Caenorhabditis elegans: one gene and its partners. The protein of the gene in region 2 interacts with the protein of the main gene of each other region in a pairwise test. Each region holds a gene or a part of one and is shown on either strand. Other genes may lie near its edges. The genes, in order: elt-2, rpt-6, T28C6.7 and nhr-6.

Region 1 (4,356 bases), on a different chromosome or scaffold from region 2:
TCTGATATTGTGGGGTGTGAAGTAATATTATGTGCGTGTGTGGCTGATTATCGAAAAAAACTGAAAATTATCAATTTTTCTACAGGTTATCTTTTTTTGTTTTATTTTTCATTATTGTATTCTTCATACTCCTTATCCTGCCCGAATCACAAAAGTTCCAGACAACTTGAAGGTCGCATCACGTTTTGTTTATAAGAATGTTGAACTGGTCAGCTTTGGAGACAGAACTGTCCTCCAAATGTTGAATATGTTTCCGTAAAACACACTGTGTAACAAAAAGCGTACCCTTTGATCCGGTATTCTTGAAAAAAAACATAGAAGGGCGTACTTTTCATATCTCACAAATATGCGTTTTTTATTTTATAATAATATCATTTATTGATAATTATATGTATTTGTATGTTTTCTTGTCTTTAAAATTATGGTGTGACATCACAGTTTAAAAATTATATGAAAACTAATGAGTGAAAAGTTAAAAATGTATAGTTTGCCGTATTTTCTCCATTAGTATTGTATTCAAAACTTATTTCCAATTGGTGAGCACTATAAACTTTGTAGGGTAATTGAGGTTCAATACTAATTTTTGAATATCTAGCTTTTGACAAATTATTCAAGTTTTGACAATGATGCCTTATCAAATTAAAAAAAATTACCATAAATTCTTGAAAGCTTTTGATTTTGTTTCACTCTGTGAAGGATAGTAATTTATCAACATTTTAACTAGATACATCTGTTCTGGCAATAAATTAAAGCAAGACTATTACTATGTGCAGTATTAATAGCTGCATTGCAACTTGTTTGAAAGTTTCAGTGAAAACGCAAAAACTCAATTTAATTTTCAAGTTTGTTTGCAAAATTGGATATATGTATCCATCAAAAGTCTGATCGCCTGTTTTATCTACTTATTGTCTCCTCAGTTGATTTTTTTGTAGTTATTATAAACGCTACTTTGAAACCAATATTTTCTTCCTCATTCCACTTTTTTCAATTACCAACTACCGTACATGCAATGATGGGCGGACCCGAGTCCCATGTTTGGCTGGAAGTGGGTGGTTGTCTGCGTATATGAGCGACAGAGGTCGGGGCTGAAACTGATAAGAATAGTCGACACTAACGCCATAATCGCTAGCCAGCCATCATGCACACCGAGCTCGGTGTGCACACCATCTTTCTTTTCAAACCAATACGCTTTGTGCCTTCATTGACAATTTTCTTTTTGATAAAATCAGCCTATCTATACTTCCCAATCATTTTTAGTCTTATCGTTGAACAGCTATCGAGGTGCCACTGTTTTCACTGATATCTTCTAAGTTACTATGGCATTAACATCTTTGTGTTCTTATTTTATGGGTTATTTTAATTAATTTTTGCAGTTAATTTTTGGAATGAGCAAGAAAATGTTAATTGTAATATCTTCGTCTGAAAATTGTCTTCAAATAGTTTTAATTTTAAAGGCAGTATTTAAGAAAATACACTTCTCGAAGCATTTTTGAATTTTTGAATTTTTAAACTGCTTGATGTTTTAGGTGCCACTGTTTTCATTGATAAGTTTTGATGTATAAATGCTTGATTTTCTTGGCATTCTAATAAAATAGAAACTAGAAAATAGATTATAGAATGGATAATAACTACAATGATAATGTCAACGGCTGGGCCGAAATGGAACCATCTCAACCAATGGGAGGTCTGCGCCTACCAACTCAGAACATGGATCCACCAGAGCAAAATAATGAGTCACAATTGAGTGAACTACCGAGAAGTAAACAAAACACTGAAATGCTTGTGGATTATAAAATTATAAAATTTCAGTGAAAATTGATAATGATTACGCATCTCCAATTGAACGGCAAAGTGTTATCACAAGTGGCACAAATAACTATGAGCCGAAAGTGGAAACTGTTACATCATGTAAGTGTGAATTCAAGTTATTTGGATTAATTCTTCCTTTTAGTTTTCCATACTGGCATAGACTACTCAAACTTTGGAATGTTGGACCAAACTACCATGCAACCGTTTTATCCTCTTTACAGTGGAATTCCCGTAAACACTCTTGGAACTTTTTCGGGATATACAAACTCGTAAGTCATGTTTTCAAGTTCTTACTTTCATATTCAAACTTTAGCATATACGACAAACCCTCTCTGTACGACCCCAGTATTCCTACCATTAACATCCCTTCTACTTATCCAACTGTGGCTCCAACTTACGAATGCGTCAAATGCTCACAAAGTTGTGGGGCCGGGATGAAGGCAGTAAACGGAGGGTAAGCTAGAAAAATTTCGATGACTCAATAAACTACCGGATTAATATGTGCCTGTACACTGTTTGGAAATAAACTACAACGAATAATTTTCTAGAATGATGTGCGTCAACTGTTCAACACCAAAAACCACGTATTCTCCTCCAGTCGCGTATAGCACTTCTTTGGGACAACCCCCGATTCTGGAAATACCTTCAGAGCAGCCAACTGCTAAAATTGCCAAGCAATCCTCTAAAAAGTCAAGTAGCTCAAATAGGGGGTCAAACGTAAGTTAAAGTTCGTTTGCAACAGTGTACAACAAATCAATACAGGGATCTGCGTCCCGTCGGCAGGGACTTGTGTGCTCCAATTGCAATGGTACCAACACAACTCTCTGGAGAAGAAATGCTGAAGGAGATCCGGTCTGCAAGTGAGTTTTTTTTTTTTTTTTTTTTTTCTAATGGTTTGTTTTTCAGTGCTTGCGGGCTTTACTTCAAACTCCATCACATCCCTCGGCCGACCTCAATGAAGAAAGAAGGTGCTTTACAGACAAGAAAGAGAAAATCAAAAAGCGGAGACTCTTCCACACCATCAACGTCACGGGCCCGAGAAAGGAAGTTTGAGAGAGCCTCTTCTTCGACCGAAAAGGCTCAAAGGTCATCTAACCGGCGTGCGGGAAGTGCAAAAGCAGACCGAGAACTGAGCACTGCTGCCGTCGCAGCTGCGACTGCCACATATGTGTCACATGCCGACTTGTATCCCGTTTCCTCAGCTGCCGTCACCTTGCCAGATCAAACGTACAGTAATTACTATCAATGGAACACTGCCGCTACAGCTGGGTTGATGATGGGTACGTGATCAACTTTTATAAAATGAAAACTACTAACCTTGAAATAGTACTTAAAGTATGGTATTAATGGTGGATAGCGTTAATTACAACAAAAACATAACTTCATAATATTGCATTCAAGCCCTCTAAGATATTCAAGCTTTTCAAAGTTTATTTTATTTCAGTTCCAAACGATCAAAACTACGTGTATGCAGCAACAAACTACCAGACTGGCCTAAGACCTGCCGATGTGAGTATGAAGCTGTTTGCCACTTCCTCGCTTATCCCACCGGTTGAGTTGCTTTTCCCAATATTTTCCCATGTACACACCAAACAGTTGTCAAATATATTACCTTATCGAGTGCTCACCTTTCATGTTTGTTTCATTTCATAAGGAATACTTTTTAGAACATCCAAGTTCATGTGATGCCAGTTCAGGATGATGAAACCAAAGCTGCGGCTCGCGATTTGGAAGCGGTCGACGGAGATTCTTAAACATATAGAAATATTGCTCAGCTCTTCCAAAGTTGTCCATTTTAATGCATAGTTTTGTATTCTCAAAAAAAAAACCATATTTGTATTATTTATCATACTGATTGCAATAACTGCCTTTTTAAAGTGTTTTCAAAGTGTTCATCCATACTTGTATAGTTTCAAAATGTTTTAAATATTTTTTCTCTAAATACTAACTCTAATAATTATACAAACATGTGTACCCTACTTTTAGTTTTTAATAAAATTATTATGGTTCTGGGTGTTCTAGATGTAAATGATGGAAATTAACTACAGGATATCGTAAAAGCGTCATAAAACTTCAAAACTTATGATACTGTAGCAAAACTTTGTTATTTCAAATTAGCAAATATTTCTGATTACGGGTTCTTCAAAAAAAATTTAAAAAATACACTAATTTATTTTTCAACGACGCCGGGCACCTGTGAACCAAGAAGATTGATACCGCGTATTTCATTGCCAAGGTTTGCGCCCATATTAACAAATTTTGAAATGAGACTTCTCAAAGTTTGCAATGGCTGTTTAAATTTTTGAAAAATGGCATAATATACAGTGCGTCCAACTTCTCTTGCCCCCCCCCCCCCCCTCTAATTTGGCGGTTTGAAACAGTTCGGTAGCGCATGTTGAAAAACTTATGCTGGTGTGAAGTTTCTTTCAAAATAAATTTATTAATTGCAAAGAATACCCCGATTTTACCGAAAATTGTCAAAAATCAGAGGGGGTGCTATAGAAGTTGGACCGCCATTTTTCCAATATTTTGACCTAATTTCCTTGT
Region 2 (4,646 bases):
CATATGATTGAAAAAGCGCGCGCACCCTGACACCACCGCGTTGCGGTCGCGTCACGGTCGAAATGCGCGCGCTTAGTAGGTGCGCTGCGGTCGCGTCGCGTGTTCGATCGATAACGTAGGATTTCGGAAGTGATGATGAAATAGGAGGTGTAGGAAATTGCGAAATTCTCATAAAATTTGAAAAAGTTGCTGAATTATTCAAGACTACGTATTTCTAAATTCTTTTCTAAAAAAATTAGTTTTGTTAAGAAGTTTTCTGCTGATTTTCCTGATTTTAATGGATAATCCCGTAAAACCGCACTGAAATTCTCGCCGCGACGCGGCCGCTTCGCGCATAAACGTGGCATCTAACTAGGTCGAAATCGATGCTAAGCCGATAAATTCTTAAGAAACATCTACTTTAATGGACTACTTCCAACCTATACCGAAAAAGGCTGTCAACTCGAGAGTACAAAATAAGCCTGTGGAAAAAAAAGGAGAAGAAATGAGCCAAATTGCAGTATAAAGCCCGCAAAATGGTCCGAAAAGTTGGGAGAGCGCGCGCGCACACGCACGCACCTCTCATCACGACGACAAACAGAACAACTGACAATATATATTCGAATGGTGTCGGGGCGGGGCGGGAACGAGTAAGAAGTACGAAGCCAAATTGGTGTCCACACTATAACGTTTGATACTCAGCCAACACGAAGACACGTGACGACACAGAGAGCAAAGACTTGGCATTGTGCCAAGTCTCCGCCTCCTCCCCCCTTTTGTCGTATCGATTTTGTGGGGTCTGGACCAAATCCGGATTAAAGCTGGAAAACTTATGCCAAGAAATATCAAATCTTTCAAAAATCCTCATTGAAAATCTGGAAAATTAACTTTAAACTTCAGGTCGCGAAGGATCCTGAATCCACGTGGATTTTCAGAAAAATTACTAATCGGGCAAAATTTTTTAAAGAATTTCATTTCTAGCGATAACTTAGCGATTCATCCGTAGATTTTTATGAAATTCGAGTATATTAACCGGAATAAGGTAACGGACCAAACTGGAAATTTTCAGGAAAAAATATGCGAAATGAGCTGAGATATGAATTAAAATGCTGCGAAATTCGAATTTTCCAGACGGAACGAAACAACAAAATGCAAAAATTTTACGCGCGCTAGTTTAATCGGGGGGCCACTCTCTTGCAAACACACACTATTTCCGAAATGCGTGCCGCTTCTCTGCGGTCTCTTCAGTGTCGCCGCTGCTCTCGCGCGATTGCGGACTTTGAACGCATTTCTTGAGAAAATATAGTAAAAATTGGAGTTTCTTGGGATCGAGGAGGATTTTTTATTTAAAATATTCAAAGAAATTGCACTAATAGTAAAAAATCTGATTACTGTTCAAGTTGAAATTTCAAAAAAAAAAAAAAACAGAAACAGTAATTTTTCTCAATTCCACAGAAAATTGAAATACTGGATACTCTAAAAATATTCCTCTTCAAATATTAATATTTTCTAAATGATTTGAGGAAGTTTCAGAAAAAAACGCATTTCCAGATCTAAATAAAGGTTTATAACAAATTTCTGCGGGTAATTTTGAAGATAAAAACAGTAAATTGGACGAAAAATCTTTAATTTTCTAAATTTCGAAGAAAAACATCAAGAAATTAACATGAAAACGAGGAAATCAATCTAATATTTCTTTAAATTTAACGTAAACACAACTGTGCATTTTTGCGTCGGCGTGTACAGCATTGCGTACGTGGCGCCACAATTGACGCCATATTGGTTCTCCGGTTGAAATATCATCATTTTTAAAGTTTCTCAATTTTTATCAGTTTTCAAGGTTTGAATTCGTTTTTTTAGGCGATTTTTTCGATAAATTGGCTTGAAAATTCAATTTCCAGGGAAAAATGAGAGATCCACACGTTTCTTGTCGTGTTATTTCAGTTTTTATTAGTCTCAACTTATTTAAAGCTATTATTTATTTTTTCCAGTGTTAATGGCTCCACCTGCTTCTACTGCTTCATCAGCTGACCCTTCTAAGCCAACGGCTCAAAAATTGACCGAAGAATCCGATGAGAAAACTCTTCGCAAATATTTCAGCACAAAAGTCGATGATGCGCAGGTTTGTTGTATTTTTTAAAAAGTTTAGCCCAAGGGTTTATCAAGTATTTCAGCAAAAAGTGGCCGACAAATCACAAAATGTGCGTCGTCTGCAAGCTCAGCGTAATGAGCTCAACACAAAAGTTCGTATGCTGAAAGAAGAGCTTCAGCAGCTCCACGAGCAAGGAAGTTACGTCGGTGAAGTGAGCAAAGCCATGGATAAGAAGAAAGTTCTTGTGAAAGTTCATCCAGAAGGAAAATATGTCGTCGACGTGGATAAATCCATTGATATCAACTCACTGAACACAGGAGCACGTGTTGCACTCCGAGCCGACAGCTATGCTCTTCATAAGCTTCTTCCGAATAAGGTGGACCCGCTGGTTTCGCTTATGATGGTCGAAAAGGTTCCTGATTCAACATACGAGATGGTTGGAGGTCTCGACAAGCAGATCAAGGAGATCAAGGAGGTTATCGAGCTGCCAGTCAAGCATCCCGAGCTCTTCGATGCTCTTGGTATTGCTCAGCCAAAAGGAGTCTTGCTCTTTGGACCACCAGGAACTGGAAAAACACTGTTGGCTCGTGCAGTTGCTCATCACACCGAGTGCACGTTTATTCGAGTTTCCGGCTCCGAGTTGGTGCAGAAGTTTATTGGAGAAGGAGCACGAATGGTTCGTGAGCTCTTCGTGATGGCTCGTGAGCATGCTCCATCGATCATTTTCATGGATGAAATCGATTCGATCGGATCTAGCAGAGTTGAAGGATCCAGTGGTGGAGATTCGGAAGTTCAGAGAACAATGCTCGAGCTTCTCAATCAACTGGATGGATTTGAGGCGACGAAGAATATTAAGGTGTGCAAAAGGAGCATATTGACCGAATATCAGGATTTAAAAAATTCAAAAAAAAACATTTTTTCTAGATTTTATATAATTTTTTGAAAATTGAAAAAATTTCAGTTTTCCCTAATTGCTATTTAAATTACCGCCAATTAAACTCGTTCGTTGGAGCGCGCTTGCATTATTTTTATTAATTTTTTAAAAAAATTATTCTCATCATTATTTCACTGATTTTCTTCATTTTTTGGGGTTTTTTCATCGGAAAATGAAAGAAATAAATAAGAAAAATGCAAATTGTTCATTAAAAAATAACTGAAAATGCCTAAAACAGGTGAAATTATGTGTTCCGACGACGACGAGCCTGAAATTAATATTTTTCGGACTTTTTAACAAACATTTTGCATTTGTCTTGTTTATTTCGTTTATTTTCCGATTAAAAAACTTCAAAAAATGAAGAAAATCAGTGAAATAATGAGAATAAATTTTAAAAAATTAATGAAAATACTACAAGCGCGCCCCAACGAACGAGTTAAATTGGCAGTAATTTAAATAGGAATTAGGGGAAAACTGAGATTTTTTCAATTTTCAAAACAAAAAAGCATATAAAATCTAGAAAATTTTTTTGAATTTTTTAAATCATAATATTCGGTCATCCCACTTAGCGTAGTCCACCTATAAATATTCCAAGCTTCTATATATAAATGTTCAGGTCATCATGGCAACCAATCGTATCGACATTCTCGACCCCGCACTTCTCCGTCCCGGCCGTATCGATCGTAAGATTGAGTTCCCGGCTCCAGATGAGAAGGCTCGTGCCGATATCCTCAAGATTCACTCGCGCAAGATGAACTTGATGCGAGGTATCAACATGGCCAAGATCGCCGAGCAAATTCCCGGAGCATCGGGAGCCGAAGTCAAGTCGGTGTGTACCGAGGCTGGCATGTTCGCGCTCCGTGAGCGACGTATTCATGTGACGCAGGAGGATTTCGAGATGGCTGTTGGAAAGGTTATGCAGAAGGATTCGGAGAAGAATATGTCCATCAAGAAGTTGTGGAAGTAAAAATAAAAATGCAAATTTCGACTTTTTTTATCGATTACCCCCCCCCCCCTTTCACTGATTTTATTGTAAAAAATGGACCCTATTTATTTATTGTCTTTGACCTCCCGTGCTCTCCTTCTTTTGCTGAATAATGCAATCTTTATTCGAAAAAAAAACGTCTAAATTTCTAACAGGATTATTCATTGCTTCCCATATTTATTCGAGATTCCCTTTTCGTCTAAAAAGTCGGAAATCTCTCCGTCTTTGTGCATTGAAATGAGAATATCACATCCGCCGACGAACTCTCCCTTCACATAGACTTGTGGAATTGTTGGCCATTCGCTGAAAATCTTGACACCTTCTCTTAGCTCCTGATCGGTCAGAACGTTGTAGTCTTGGAATTTTACATTGTGGAAGTCGAGAACCTGAAATGGGAAAATGTGATTTTTTGGGATTTTTTCTTTTTTTTTTTAAAGCGAAACTATTACGGTAGCACTAAATTCTGAGAATACGTATTGCACAACACATTTGACGCGCAACATATGAAATATCTCGCAGCGAAAACTACAGTAATCCTTTAAATGACTACTGTAGCGCTTGTGTCGATTTACGGGCTCTATCAAAGCTGGTAAATCGACACAAGTGCTACAGTAGTCTTATTTAAAGGATTACTGTGTAGTTTTCGCTACGAGATA
Region 3 (4,691 bases), on a different chromosome or scaffold from region 2:
AATATTTATTAGTTTTAGTATAAAGAAACAATATTCTTAAAAATGCTCCTAGTTCGAAATTTGGAATGGTTTATCGAATTATTACAATGACCTGAAAAGCCTAGAATTTATGCTATCAGTAATGCTGATTTTTCAGAAGAACTGATGAGCTTAATAGACACAAATGCCTTTTGAAAATAGAAAGAGAACTGTGTTTCATGGGTTACCAAACTTAGTAAATTTTCTTCTCGATGCTGTTTGATCTATCTTGACCCAAAAACTTTAGTAAGACAGAAATTATTTTAACAAAAATATCAGTTGTGTGCTTTGCTTTTTTACATCGTGCTCTCATGTACTGACAGACAATGAGACGTGTTCTTATAACGTTTTGTTCACAGTTTTCAATGCTTACTTTAACTTTTCTGAATACACACCGCACAGAAAACTAATGATTTAAAATGGCCTACATGAAGAGTTCCAAAACAGAAAATAAAAATTGAAAAGTCATGTTTTTTCATGCCAAAATAGTCATTTGGTTATTTTTACCATCGATTTCTTTTTTGTAATTAATATCCGTATTTAATGTCACTAATATTTCACCGAGCTCTCCCATTATTTGGCCCATACACTATGTCAATGGTCACCGCGAAAGTGAAATGCGCCACCGCAAACGAATGTGCGTCAGCAGAAAATCAATAACGCGGGTGCCGTGTTGGTCGACGTGTCTCTCGAAAGGAACTAATTCGAACCAGTTTTTTGTAGAATTTCGTGTTAAAACTTCATTTTTGATTCTTCAGGAATTAAATTGCACGTAGATTTGTAACTGTTTTAAGTCGTTTCATATATTCTTCCTTATGTTTCAAATTTAGTTATATAACCTATATTTAAATTGCTGTATTAATTCACAGTGCTAGCCAAAGAAGCAACCTTTTTTGGTTTTTGATATTGTTGAGAATGATTAAAATGAATTCCGAAACTATTTCCGAAACTAATTCAGAAGCTAATTCAGAAGCAAATTATTTTTACTTTTGTATACTTGTTCAAATAAGTTAATTATATTCACTAGTACCAAAAAAAGCGGAATTTCTAGAGTATATTATTATTATAGTTAAAAAATGAAACAGTAAATGAAAATTATTTTACTTCAGCAACCTTTAAATACAAAAATAAATATTTTGTTAGTTATACTTCTGATAACTAGGTTACGAGTTATACTTTTGAATAATTTGCAACATTATCAAAAAACTGAAAGTGAATATATTTTTGGCATGCTCCTTATACCTAATCAGTTTATTAACTTTAAAAAACGATTTTTCATCCATTATAAGACTTCTCAAGTAGTGTCGGAAGATTAAAAAATTTTAGAAAAAAAAGGATGTGTTCGGAAAACTTTTTGAAAAAAAAACGTGAGACGCATATTATTGCGTGAGATTAAAATGTGAGCTTTCCACGTGGGTTCAGCGCCTCTCCGTTACGTGGAACGGGGTTTCTCTGTTTCTCTCTCCAATCTCTCGCAGAAAATTTATTCTGGATTTACAAATTATTTAAAAAGTTTTTGAATAATTTTACGTCATCCCTTTTTTTAAACTATAATTTTCAAATTTCTTTTCTTCTCATTGTTTCTTCACGTCCTTGAAGTATACTGTCACTTTTTAAATACGTTAAATACAAATATAATACTTTTCAGAAATGGAGGACAAAACCTCCAAAGAAAAAGAAAAATCGGCCGACAAACGGATCGATGAACGGGTTCATCAACAACTGGTGTATAAGGATAACCGAATTATAGATTTAAATAATGTGATATTGGATAAAGAAAGGCAAATTTTGGACTTACAGGTGAGAATTATTCTGTTTCTGTGGTTTCATATTGGAGTTGTATTTAGGAAAGAGTTCGTGAGCACAATGAAGTTGCTTCAGTCAAAAATCAAGCAATGAGAATTGTTCAACAAAAATTTGAAGAAATGAATAGAGACAAGAAGGATATGTCGACAGAAACTGAGCCTTCTTTGATGGCTCATTCCTCAGTACCATTATCAAATTCAAAGAGTGAACGGAGAGCAAGAAGTTCATCTCCAGGTCATGTCATTGCACAGAGAAGTGAGTAAAGTTTTTTGGTTAAAAAAAAATGAAGTTGTCATGCACCATTTCTGAATATATATGACGTTCAGTTTTATTTTTAGAATTTTTTTATTATTCCCAAACAGGAAAATTGCTGATCTTAGACGTGTTAGGACAACTGTAACCTACAGTAATCTAAAGGTAGCTTGCCCAAGTAATTTGTATGCTCCTCTTTTTCTTGAAAATAAGCTCGAAAATTGAGCACACGGCTAGAAATTGAAAATTGTGACGATATAAAACTTTTTTTTAAAGTTTAACGGAATTGAATTGATCTATTTTTCAGAAACGATGGTCTCAAGTTCATCGGGAACCTTCTCTCCTCCACCATTGGATCCTCCATTTGATCCATCTAGCAAACTGAGCGCTCTTCCAGATATTGACGGAATCCATAGGAAACATCAAAGAAAACGTGTAACTTTTGATTTAAATCCAAATGGTTCTTCAATTGGAACATCAACATCTTCCAATTTTCCATCTACATCTGTTTCCCGCTATCCCACCATTTCAATGTCTTCTTCAACTTCAGACGCTCTCGAGTCTGCTTTAACAGAAGCTTCATCTGAAAATGCTTTACTCCGTCAGCAAGTTATCGAACTAAACTCATCTGTTGAAAAAATGAAAGCAGACTATGAATCTGAAATTCTCAAATACACAAAAGAGGCAAAAACTGCTGGACTCAAGGCAAAGGTTGCGGCGACTGCAAGAATCAAGGAGTTGGAAACTACACTTGAAGATATCAATGGAAAATATGAAGATGAGGTAAGTGAAATAGATGAATATATCATTTTGTATAGAAACGTTTCCAATTTTCAGAGGGATCGTCTTCAAGAAGAAGTTGACACTCTCCGATCTTCTCGAAATTGGGAAATAGAACAAAATGCTCTTCTTCGTGATCAAGTTGCTCATTTGAAAGAAAAAGTTCACAAGTTGACAACAGAGTTAGATGCTAGTGAAGTAGCCAAACGATCCTTGAGCTCAGAAGTTGACGAATCTAAAAAGCTGATGGAATTGATGGTTGAAGATCTCCTTCAAGCTGAATCCGCTATCAACTACAATCAATGTCAGAAAAAAGCTATTTTTGAGGACATTGACCGATTGAAGGATGCCATTCAAGCACAGGATAGATTTATTGAAGTTCTTGAAGCTGATATTGTCATCTATGAGCAACATATTGGACTTTTGAGAGAGAATTTGGGTGCTTCACAGGTAAGATTTTTATTTCCTGTTGAAGCTCATTTTTTCCATAAGAAAATCTTTAACATCTCGAAATTTCTAGTCTAGAGAAAAGTCAATTGAAATATCTATAAAAAAGAAAAAGTATTATATTTATTAACGGAAAAATTCTGGAAATATACGTTTCAAAGTTATGTAATTAATCACACTGAAACCCGTAGTTTAATTGACCAAAATCAAACAGAAAAAGAAACTGAAAAATATTTCAAATAATTTACAGGTCGATCATCGAGCACTGATAAAATCAAAAGCTTTCGAGACGAAACTATTGGCTTTGGAACGCGAAAAAGAGCAAAGTGACAAGAAATCAAATGGTGAGACGATAGGAGACTTTTTTGTAAAGAAAAATGGGATAAGTATCATTTAAAACTTCTGATCAAGTATCAGAATAATCGGAAATATTTACTTATGAAAATTACTTAAACGTAACAAACCCCTTTTGAAACCCTGGCGAAATCAAAAATTCAAAAAATTAATCCACAATTGGTGCAGTTGATAGTGTGGTGGAAACTGTAGAATCTGTGGATGATGCTGTCATTGCCGGATTACGATATGCAGCAAAACTAGCTGGAAGAGCCGTTTTTGTAGATTCGTACAAACGGAAGTTGTAGCCCAATCCGGGAGTTCTTGGTAAAATAGCACGGGTTTCAGTACGTTTAACCACCTGCAACATTTGATTTATTAAAAACGAGATAAGACATTAGCTATTGCAGAACACCAATACATTTCTTTAGAAATTATAACTAAAGCTCTCATTTTCATAAGAACTAAGCCTTCTAATTTTATTTTGAAAGAAAAAACTCACATCACATTGACATTGTGTGCAATAGTATGTTTTCCGTTTCATGCAGCAGTAGATTCCACACGGAAAGCAAAAAATTGCGTATAAAATTGCTCGCCAACTGAAACGGCTTTTCACTTTTTTCTGAGTGCAAGCCGGACATGACAGATTAGAAGATGTAGTGGATGACATGATGGTTTTGAAGTTTTACATCTGAAATTTAAGCTTTAAAAACTTTTTAAAAAGTGTTTGAAGAAGGTGTGCAGCAGTTTCATATCTGGAAGCTCATACGTGCTTCTCCGTTTATGAGAATAAATTATGCCTAAACTCACTTGCCACATCGAATCGTGTTCCAATAATGCAAAAAAAAATTAATGTGGGACGCAGCGTGTCAATAATCGATGGGAGAGAAAGGACAAAGTATCCGCTCGACTGCCACCTCACTGTTTTCGCCTAAAGTATCACAATCAACTAAAGATAGACATAGAGAGAAACGGCACGCAGATATACAGACAGACAGGCAGACATATAGAGAAATTAGAGAAACATTGTTTTGTGTTGACAATACAAGAGGTCT
Region 4 (7,263 bases), 8.8 Mb from region 2:
TTCGAAAATAACAAATATTTTAGCTGAAACATATTAGAAAATTCTCAAAAATAACCTGGAAATTGCCATTCATCCATTATCGAATTGTCTAGCAATTGACAACTTCTAGGCTATTTTGAGCATTTATTCAAATGTTTTAGCTCAAATAAATGCTATTTTCAAATTAATCAAATAATCAAATCAAAATATTTTGGTCTCATTGCACCTGGTGCAATAGGACATTTTTTAGAATTAACGCCCCTCATTTCTCTCAAAAACCGATTCCTCGAAAAAAATTTCCTAACTCAAATTTTATCTACAGTCTTATGCAACAGTGCATTGCGAAAGATTTCCTAATGCTCCCACAAACCGCAAAATTTTTTCTCAACATGTACGTTTTTCTTGTAATTTACAGCTTCCTTCCTACTATTTAGCATATTTTTCCAAATATGTTTTCTGATACGCCTTGTTACTCACAGGAGCTAGAACTAGATAGACAAACCAATTAGAACATCCCCCCGGAGGTTTGTATGTTTTTCGGAAAATGATCCATTGTTCAGATCAGTTATGATGTGTCGTGAGATGGGCGGGAGGAAGTGATATCATAAGTTCCCTTTACGGTTTCTGGTATATAATAATGCTCATTTAGTCGTAGAAATTTATTGTTCCGACTGTTCCGGAAAGATAATTTTTCTGTAGATCATTTATGCAAAAAATATTTTTCACTTTTGCATTAGTTTTTGCGTAGCACCCAATTTACCGAACAACTCTCCTTATCATGAAAATGCCCTTGAAATGACTAAATAATTTCACCGGTGCACATACTTTCTATTTTTTCCTTTTTTTCCATTGTCTAGAGCAGCAGCTGACGCAATTTTCCGACCTTTTCACACTTCCCACTCTGCATGCATTTTTGGATTTAAATTGTCTACGTACAAAATATCTTGCACCTGTGATGAAGTCACAAACTAGCTCAGAGATTAATTAGCTCTAGACATAGATGCTAACTGATGGGTTTGCAAGTACCTATGCCTACCTGCGTGCCTTCAACTCCCCTAATGCAGATAACAGTAGCCGTAGGTCAGTTGTAGGCACGGCAGCAGGCATAGAAGTTAACTGTTACAGTAACCACTCACCTGTACATTGGGATCTCCTCATTGATTTTGAGAGCTGACCTACATAGTATATCGAAGCGATTCGATCGCTAAACTCTGAGCTCACAGAATTGGAAACAATGAAAAAAAGGCTGATTCTGCTTTTAGAGTGACCACTTCTAATTTTAGCCGGCCCGGTGGTGTCGTCAAAATTCCTTTCCTGAAATTACGTAGATAATCAAGGCGCGGGCAGGTGAATATTCCATTCAAGACGGGCAAGAACACATGTTGTTGACTTTTTTAGTGTTGCTGCTCGATCAGTTGTCACAGTGTCAAATCACCTGCACATGTGCATTTTTAGGTGCTTCTGATGACGCGCCACGAGCTGCTACTCCGCCTTCTCAATTGTTTGACACTATATAATTCCCGATCGTCTCTCTCTCTCTCCCACTCACCCAATCTGAAAATTCGTTAAAATTCTGAACATTTTCAGATTGACCACTACTAGAGCTCTTCTCTCACTTCTTCTTCATCTTTCTTCATTCAAATCTTACAACTCCTTATATCGACCGCTCATTAATCGGATGCGCGGTCTGTCCGACTGAATGGAACAACTTAGTATTCAAACGGACGAGTTGCAAGATCAGGTACCCTAACCTATTTCTTTTTTTTTTTGAGTAGGCGAACTGGCAGGTGTACCAGAAAAACTGTTAAAGTTCGGTGGAAAAGATATGTGGTAAATTCTATATGTGGTAAATTTTCAGTTTTCCAACTGCTCGCCAGCTTCTGTCGATAGTAGCTACTCATCCTGCTCCAGCGTGGAGGACGAAGTAAGTATTCTTATTCTCATCTTCTGGAAGCCTAAACAAGATTGGGCTTATGCTTAGGATTCGGCTTAGGATTAGGCTTGGGCTTAAGAATTATAGAAAAAAAAATACAAAAATTGCACAATCCCAAAAAAACAGAAAACTCAAAAATCATGTGCCCAGAAACAACGGAAAATGAGATATTACAAAATCTGGCAAAAACTTTAATTTAAATTTTATTTTTTAAGATCGAAATCTACACACGCCTCGTGCGTAACGAAGAACCTCTGCGAAGGGACTTCTTCCGCGAGATGTCGAAAAACTCTTCGTGCTCCTCATCATTCGACTACGGTAATTCACAAAATTTCCATTTCTTCCTAATTATTGGTTTCAGGAGAGTTTGGACCATCTTCCTCGTCTCGCAAAGGCTCCAAAACCACCGATGCCGACCTCGACAGCCTTTTCCATTCTCTTGTGGTGAGCTCTTTTTCCAAGAACTTTTTTAAGATTCCCATGAAACCTTTTTTTTCAAATCTGTGGGAGAAAATTGGTATAATCCTTTTCTGAGCTATAATTTTTTTGAACTTTTTTCCGGCGGTAAAAAAAGGTGTGAGTGGGAACATGTGAATAATATCACCCGACTCCTCGTTTCCCACTTCATTTCAAACTTGGCATCCCCTCTCAACACAGTCATTGTTTCCTGTCGAATCACCCTGCACTTTCCCAACACATTTCGTGCCCGCTTATTAGAAAGATAATTGGATAGGTGAGATCACTTGTAGAGAGAGCCACGAGTGGTGTTGGTTGGAGAGAAATATTTCTCGTTTCAAATTCATTCTACAACTTTTCCACCCAACTAGTAGTAGTCTTTCTCTTTCTTTTTTTTTGGGTGTTGGCGCAATGGTATTTGCCATTAGTCATAGAGACAGTAGCAGCAGGGGTGGGACCCCTAATGCTAACAAGTCACTTGTACCAAAATGTCATTCATTTATTAGTAGTGTTTCTTTTGATGTTGCTGCTTTCTTTTTTGGCTACTGTAAAAAGTAGACCATTTTAGAAAATTTGGCAAGTTGTTTAGAAGTTTTTGGAAGTCGACTATTTTTTTTCACTCAAAATCAATGTTTCAACCTCTAAAAAATTTGAATTCTAGAAACTTTTTAAAAAAATTCTAATTTTTCCCACTGCTCAAAATTTATGAGAGTCTAGAAATGTAAAAAAATGTATCAAAAATCCCAAAAAAAAAACTAGAGTAGCCCCCCACAAAAATGGCTCCGAGTTTCTGAATTTAGACCCAACTTTTCATTGAAAATTACTGTCAAAATCAGGAATATATGCATATTGATTTATCTGAAAATCAGATTTTGCCCACTTGAACCATTGGAAAAAATGCTCGAAAATGGCCTTTTCAACAAGTATGATTTTTGATATTTTTGACCCATTTTTAGCATTTCTCAATAAAATCGCCCTGCATTTTTAAGGCTTTAGAACGTTTTTGGAGCTCTCGAGATAATTTCTTTATTTCTAGTTTGCTTAGCCATGTAGGCGGTAATTTTTCGAGGACTACAACAAATATTTTCAGCCCACAGGCTCTGCGTCATTTTAGACCAGAGAAGAGTACAAAAAGTTTAGCTCTCATAGCTCTTTTCTTGTTTTCTGCTCCAAAAAAACTCTTAACTTCCTCACATAAACAGTCCGAAAACCCGAAAAATATTTAAATGCTGGCTTAACCTTCAGTTTTGCTCAAACACATACACCCACTATCATCCGGCTAATTGATAGATACACGTGCCATTTGGCTCCCCCTTCAGTCCTCTGTGTCCACACCAAAATTTGGCATGAAACACCCCGCAATTTGTCGTCTTTCTTCTTCCTTTCATCCATCTCGAAAACTCTTTACTTTCGATTTTGATTTGATGGTCTCTCTGGGAAACCTGTTTCTATTATATCCTCAAAGTGTCACCTCTCATTCTTTTTTGGCTTCTGTCAGCGACGTCGTCATCACTCTTAGGTGGTCTCGGGGCGTGGACTGACATAATTCCTCGTGTATGCTCTTTTGTCGCAGCTAATGCTCAGGGCTCTGGACTCCGCCCCTTGAAATTTTCCTGGGCAGCCGCCTAATCAGCTGTTTGATAGAAGCGCACTTTTCATATATTCATACTTACTTCCCCCCTGCACCCTACAGTTATGATGAGCAAACGGACAGCTAGCAAAATTGACAAGCCTGTGGTCAGGCTCGGAGATGATCTTAGCGGACTTATGGGCTTTATAAAGTCTGAAATTGAAAGTTTGCAGGAGACAAGCGATCAGGTGAACACTGTACCAAAGCCCACGAAAACCGAAGTCGAGAGTATCCCCGAAGAATTCGAGCAGGTAAGAGCTTCATTCTGCACACAATTATAAACTTTTAATAATTTCAGAAACCATCCTCCTCCAGTCACCGTTTACCATCCGAAATGAACGCCTCAATCACCCATATCAAAAGTGAACTTGACCCAACTATGCAAGCATTTCAAATGCCACACAACGATCTTTTCCTGGCAACCGCCGCACCGCATTACAATCCATTCGCGTAAGTGTCGTCACAGATAACCACGTGTGAATTACTTTTGCTTCGTGTTTTCTACGTAGTACATCGAGCCGAGGATTAACCTCCATTGAGAGCATAAGCTGGTGCTTCCACGAGAGGATTTCTATTGTTTCTTCTTACAGACTTTCGAATGATTTCATGCCGAATCCCTTGATGCCTTCATTCACATCTCCATTCTATCCTCAACACTTTCCGGTATCGGATTCCAGGCGTGGAAGTCAGGGGACAACGAGCTCGTCGAACAATACCGGCGGAACACCATCGCCTCATTCAAGCTCTCTGCCAACGTCACCCCCGCAGTTGCAAGGCTTCTTAAGGTTCGTTTTTGAAATTTGAAATTTGATATTTTAAATTTGAAATTAAAAAAAAAAGAAAACTTTCAGATCCTTCCTCAACCCCGACAACCTCTCCACACCAACCTCATTCGGTGTCCCATCGGAAACAGCTCTTGACGCTGACAAAATGTGCGCTGTGTGCAATGATCGAGCTGTTTGCCTGCACTATGGAGCCAGAACTTGCGAAGGATGCAAAGGATTCTTCAAGCGAACTGTGCAGAAGAACTCCAAATACACTTGCGCTGGTAACAAGACCTGCCCAATCGACAAGCGATACCGTAGTCGGTGCCAGTACTGTCGCTATCAAAAGTGTTTGGAAGTCGGCATGGTCAAAGAAAGTAGGTGTACCCTTTGGGAAATGTTCATTATTTGTGATATTTCAGTTGTTCGACATGGTTCTCTATCGGGGAGACGTGGACGTTTGTCGTCAAAGACGAAGTTGGCAAGATCAGAGGATCAACCATCTCCACCGCTTCCTCTTCTAGCTTTGATGGGAAAAGCAATTGAAGATCATACAAATATGACTGTTGTCCGGCAATTTGTAAGTCGGAAATTTAGCATTTCTTTTGGAAAATGTTTATCATTTAGATGCAACCATTCGATGAGACTATCGCACTGAGAATCCTGCACGGAGAGCTTCATGCCACCAAGAAGCTTCTCATGGCAATGCCACAAATTTCCGAGATTCAGCCAGCCGACTTCCAGATCCTCCTCAGCAGATCTTTCTTCGCAATCATGGCAATCCGCGTGGCAAACCGATGTGGCAACAGCACCGACACAATTATGTTCGAGTCTGGAGAGCTTTTCTCGTTGAACGCGTTCCCTGCCTGCTTCCAACAAATCATTCGATTCATGGTTGACAAAGCACGAACCTTCAGCTCATTGGTTGACTGGGAGCCTCAGGCATTCGCCGCCTTTATTGCTCTTCAATTTTTGGCTGGAAACACAGGTGTGTAGAATTTAAACCCTAAAAAGCTTCAGCAAAGTTTATCTACTCCTCATTTCATAATTTCAAAATTTTTTCAGAACATAACGTACTTGGATTGACCAACAAACCTCTCGTCGACCAGGTTCAAAGTACCATCATCAATGCTCTCAAGGATCATTGCAGCGGATCTCAGAACAAATTGGCCAAGATCGTTAGATTGGTAAGTTTGTCATTTTCAACGTGTGACGTAGAATCTAGCGGGGAAGCCTTGTAACACGCTTTGAGGGCAAAATTTGCACGCTTCTAATGCTAATCCATGTCTGCCAGGAAGCAAAATTTTTATTTTTTATTGAGGGTTGCACTGAGAGCAAGTATTCCAGACTGACATGCAAGTAGGATGTCTAGTATAACACTAACTATTCAATTTTCAGACCCAAGAATTCGATGTATTCCATGCTCTTGGACTCCAGGCCCTGGACATTCTCTATCCATCACACCAGCTTCCAGAAGAGTTCATGTTCCTTATCAATCTTACACGTGCTCCATTACGATCTACGGATGCACCGCCAGCTTGTGGAAGCCCAGTTGCCCCATCTGGAAGTTCACTTTTTAACTTCCAAATGGGCCCGGCTGCCTTTTAAAATTTTTTAAATGTTTAAAATTTTAAAAATTTAAAATTAATATATTTTTCAAAATCGCTAGCCCCATTGAATTGCATATCGCAAAGATTTCTAATTTATTTTGTTTCCCCACTACTGTCTCAAACAAAAAATCACTTCCAGAAAAATTTCAAATAACTTGTTACCGGTACTTTCCCAACAATTTTTGCTCCTTGAACCTCAAATCTCTCAGAATTTGTCCCCCCATTCGGTTTTTATTTTATGAAAAGCCTCTAGTTTTTGTGTGAATTCCAATCCCCGAATATCAATTTTGTTTTGTTTCAATTTTCAGAGTTTATTTATTTTAACTGATATTTCTTGAAATTATTGTATAGAAAAAGAAAACCATAAATTATATATTTTTACATTGTTTCATTTTATTACAAAGCACCGGAGAGAGAGGGACAAGAATACTGTGGGGAAGGGGTATACTGAAGTTTAGAGAGCAATTCCTGGAGAAAAAGGTCTGAAGCTTAACAAAAATTATTTCGCATTTGTCGTTTGTTACGTCTCATGTACTGGAACGCGGTTTTCAGATCGGTTTTCAGCTCGCAGCGGCTGAATCCACGGTCGTCAATGATGGGCTCCGGATGAGCAAAGTCTGGGCACTTCTTCCCTGAAATTTGAAGGTTTTTCGAAGTGAAGAAGGCATGTGTCCCCTCAAATAGAAGTGTGTGACGTCACACGTTTTAAGGGGCATTGACCTACTGTATCATAATTTACGCGCAAAGTTTCTGTTCTGGACTGTGCTGAACTTGGTTGAACCGCGGAACCCGCGAAACGTCCGTGCAAGAACAATCGGGACATTATTTCCTTTTAATATTAAAGTTTTCAAAATGTTAGGGTTCGCCTCAAACTGTTCTGTGTGACGTCAC

Evidence for each region.
Region 1: the proteins of rpt-6 (region 2) and elt-2 interact in a protein complementation assay, tested with the Caenorhabditis elegans proteins (one study listed by BioGRID).
Region 3: the proteins of rpt-6 (region 2) and T28C6.7 interact in a two-hybrid assay, tested with the Caenorhabditis elegans proteins (2 studies listed by BioGRID).
Region 4: the proteins of rpt-6 (region 2) and nhr-6 interact in a two-hybrid assay, tested with the Caenorhabditis elegans proteins (2 studies listed by BioGRID).

The regions. Positions count from the first base shown.
Region 1 is NC_003284.9:10,479,624-10,483,979, forward strand, and holds elt-2 (Transcription factor elt-2), read left to right. Parts: upstream 1-1,616; 5' UTR 1,617-1,617; coding exon 1,618-1,759; intron 1,760-1,809; coding exon 1,810-1,908; intron 1,909-1,951; coding exon 1,952-2,078; intron 2,079-2,122; coding exon 2,123-2,263; intron 2,264-2,357; coding exon 2,358-2,526; intron 2,527-2,571; coding exon 2,572-2,669; intron 2,670-2,715; coding exon 2,716-3,089; intron 3,090-3,253; coding exon 3,254-3,318; intron 3,319-3,476; coding exon 3,477-3,563; 3' UTR 3,564-3,818; downstream 3,819-4,356. UniProt on the Caenorhabditis elegans protein: Transcriptional activator that binds to the consensus sequence 5'-[AT]GATA[AG]-3'. Predominantly directs the transcription of intestinal genes such as ges-1, cpr-6, pho-1, ftn-1, vit-2 and lev-11, and itself.
Region 2 is NC_003281.10:12,368,486-12,373,131, forward strand, and holds rpt-6 (26S proteasome regulatory subunit 8), read left to right. Parts: upstream 1-1,970; 5' UTR 1,971-1,975; coding exon 1,976-2,101; intron 2,102-2,153; coding exon 2,154-2,927; intron 2,928-3,621; coding exon 3,622-3,972; 3' UTR 3,973-4,123; downstream 4,124-4,646. Other genes in the region: his-72 (Histone H3.3 type 2), read right to left, coding at 559-565; glrx-5 (Glutaredoxin-related protein 5, mitochondrial), read right to left, coding at 4,152-4,376. UniProt on the Caenorhabditis elegans protein: Component of the 26S proteasome, a multiprotein complex involved in the ATP-dependent degradation of ubiquitinated proteins.
Region 3 is NC_003282.8:8,826,136-8,830,826, forward strand, and holds the start of T28C6.7 (Kinesin motor domain-containing protein), read left to right. Parts: upstream 1-1,668; coding exon 1,669-1,818; intron 1,819-1,865; coding exon 1,866-2,079; intron 2,080-2,383; coding exon 2,384-2,859; intron 2,860-2,913; coding exon 2,914-3,306; intron 3,307-3,413; exon of another isoform or gene 3,414-3,553; coding exon 3,554-3,647; exon of another isoform or gene 3,648-3,805; coding exon of another isoform or gene 3,806-3,997; intron 3,998-4,138; coding exon of another isoform or gene 4,139-4,306; exon of another isoform or gene 4,307-4,327; intron 4,328-4,446; exon of another isoform or gene 4,447-4,592; intron 4,593-4,691. Other genes in the region: T28C6.8 (Membrane protein BRI3), read right to left, coding at 3,806-3,997, 4,139-4,306.
Region 4 is NC_003281.10:3,572,021-3,579,283, forward strand, and holds nhr-6 (Nuclear hormone receptor family member nhr-6), read left to right. Parts: upstream 1-1,560; 5' UTR 1,561-1,678; coding exon 1,679-1,720; intron 1,721-1,830; exon of another isoform or gene 1,831-1,837; coding exon 1,838-1,903; intron 1,904-2,127; coding exon 2,128-2,230; intron 2,231-2,273; coding exon 2,274-2,356; intron 2,357-4,171; coding exon 4,172-4,249; intron 4,250-4,296; coding exon 4,297-4,448; intron 4,449-4,588; coding exon 4,589-4,783; intron 4,784-4,849; coding exon 4,850-5,139; intron 5,140-5,184; coding exon 5,185-5,342; intron 5,343-5,389; coding exon 5,390-5,750; intron 5,751-5,827; coding exon 5,828-5,949; intron 5,950-6,160; coding exon 6,161-6,370; 3' UTR 6,371-6,751; downstream 6,752-7,263. Other genes in the region: C48D5.3 (TIL domain-containing protein), read right to left, coding at 6,862-7,004. UniProt on the Caenorhabditis elegans protein: Transcriptional activator that induces gene expression by binding to the NGFI-B response element (NBRE) 5'-AAAGGTCA-3'. Required for proper morphogenesis of the spermatheca and the spermatheca-uterine valve formation.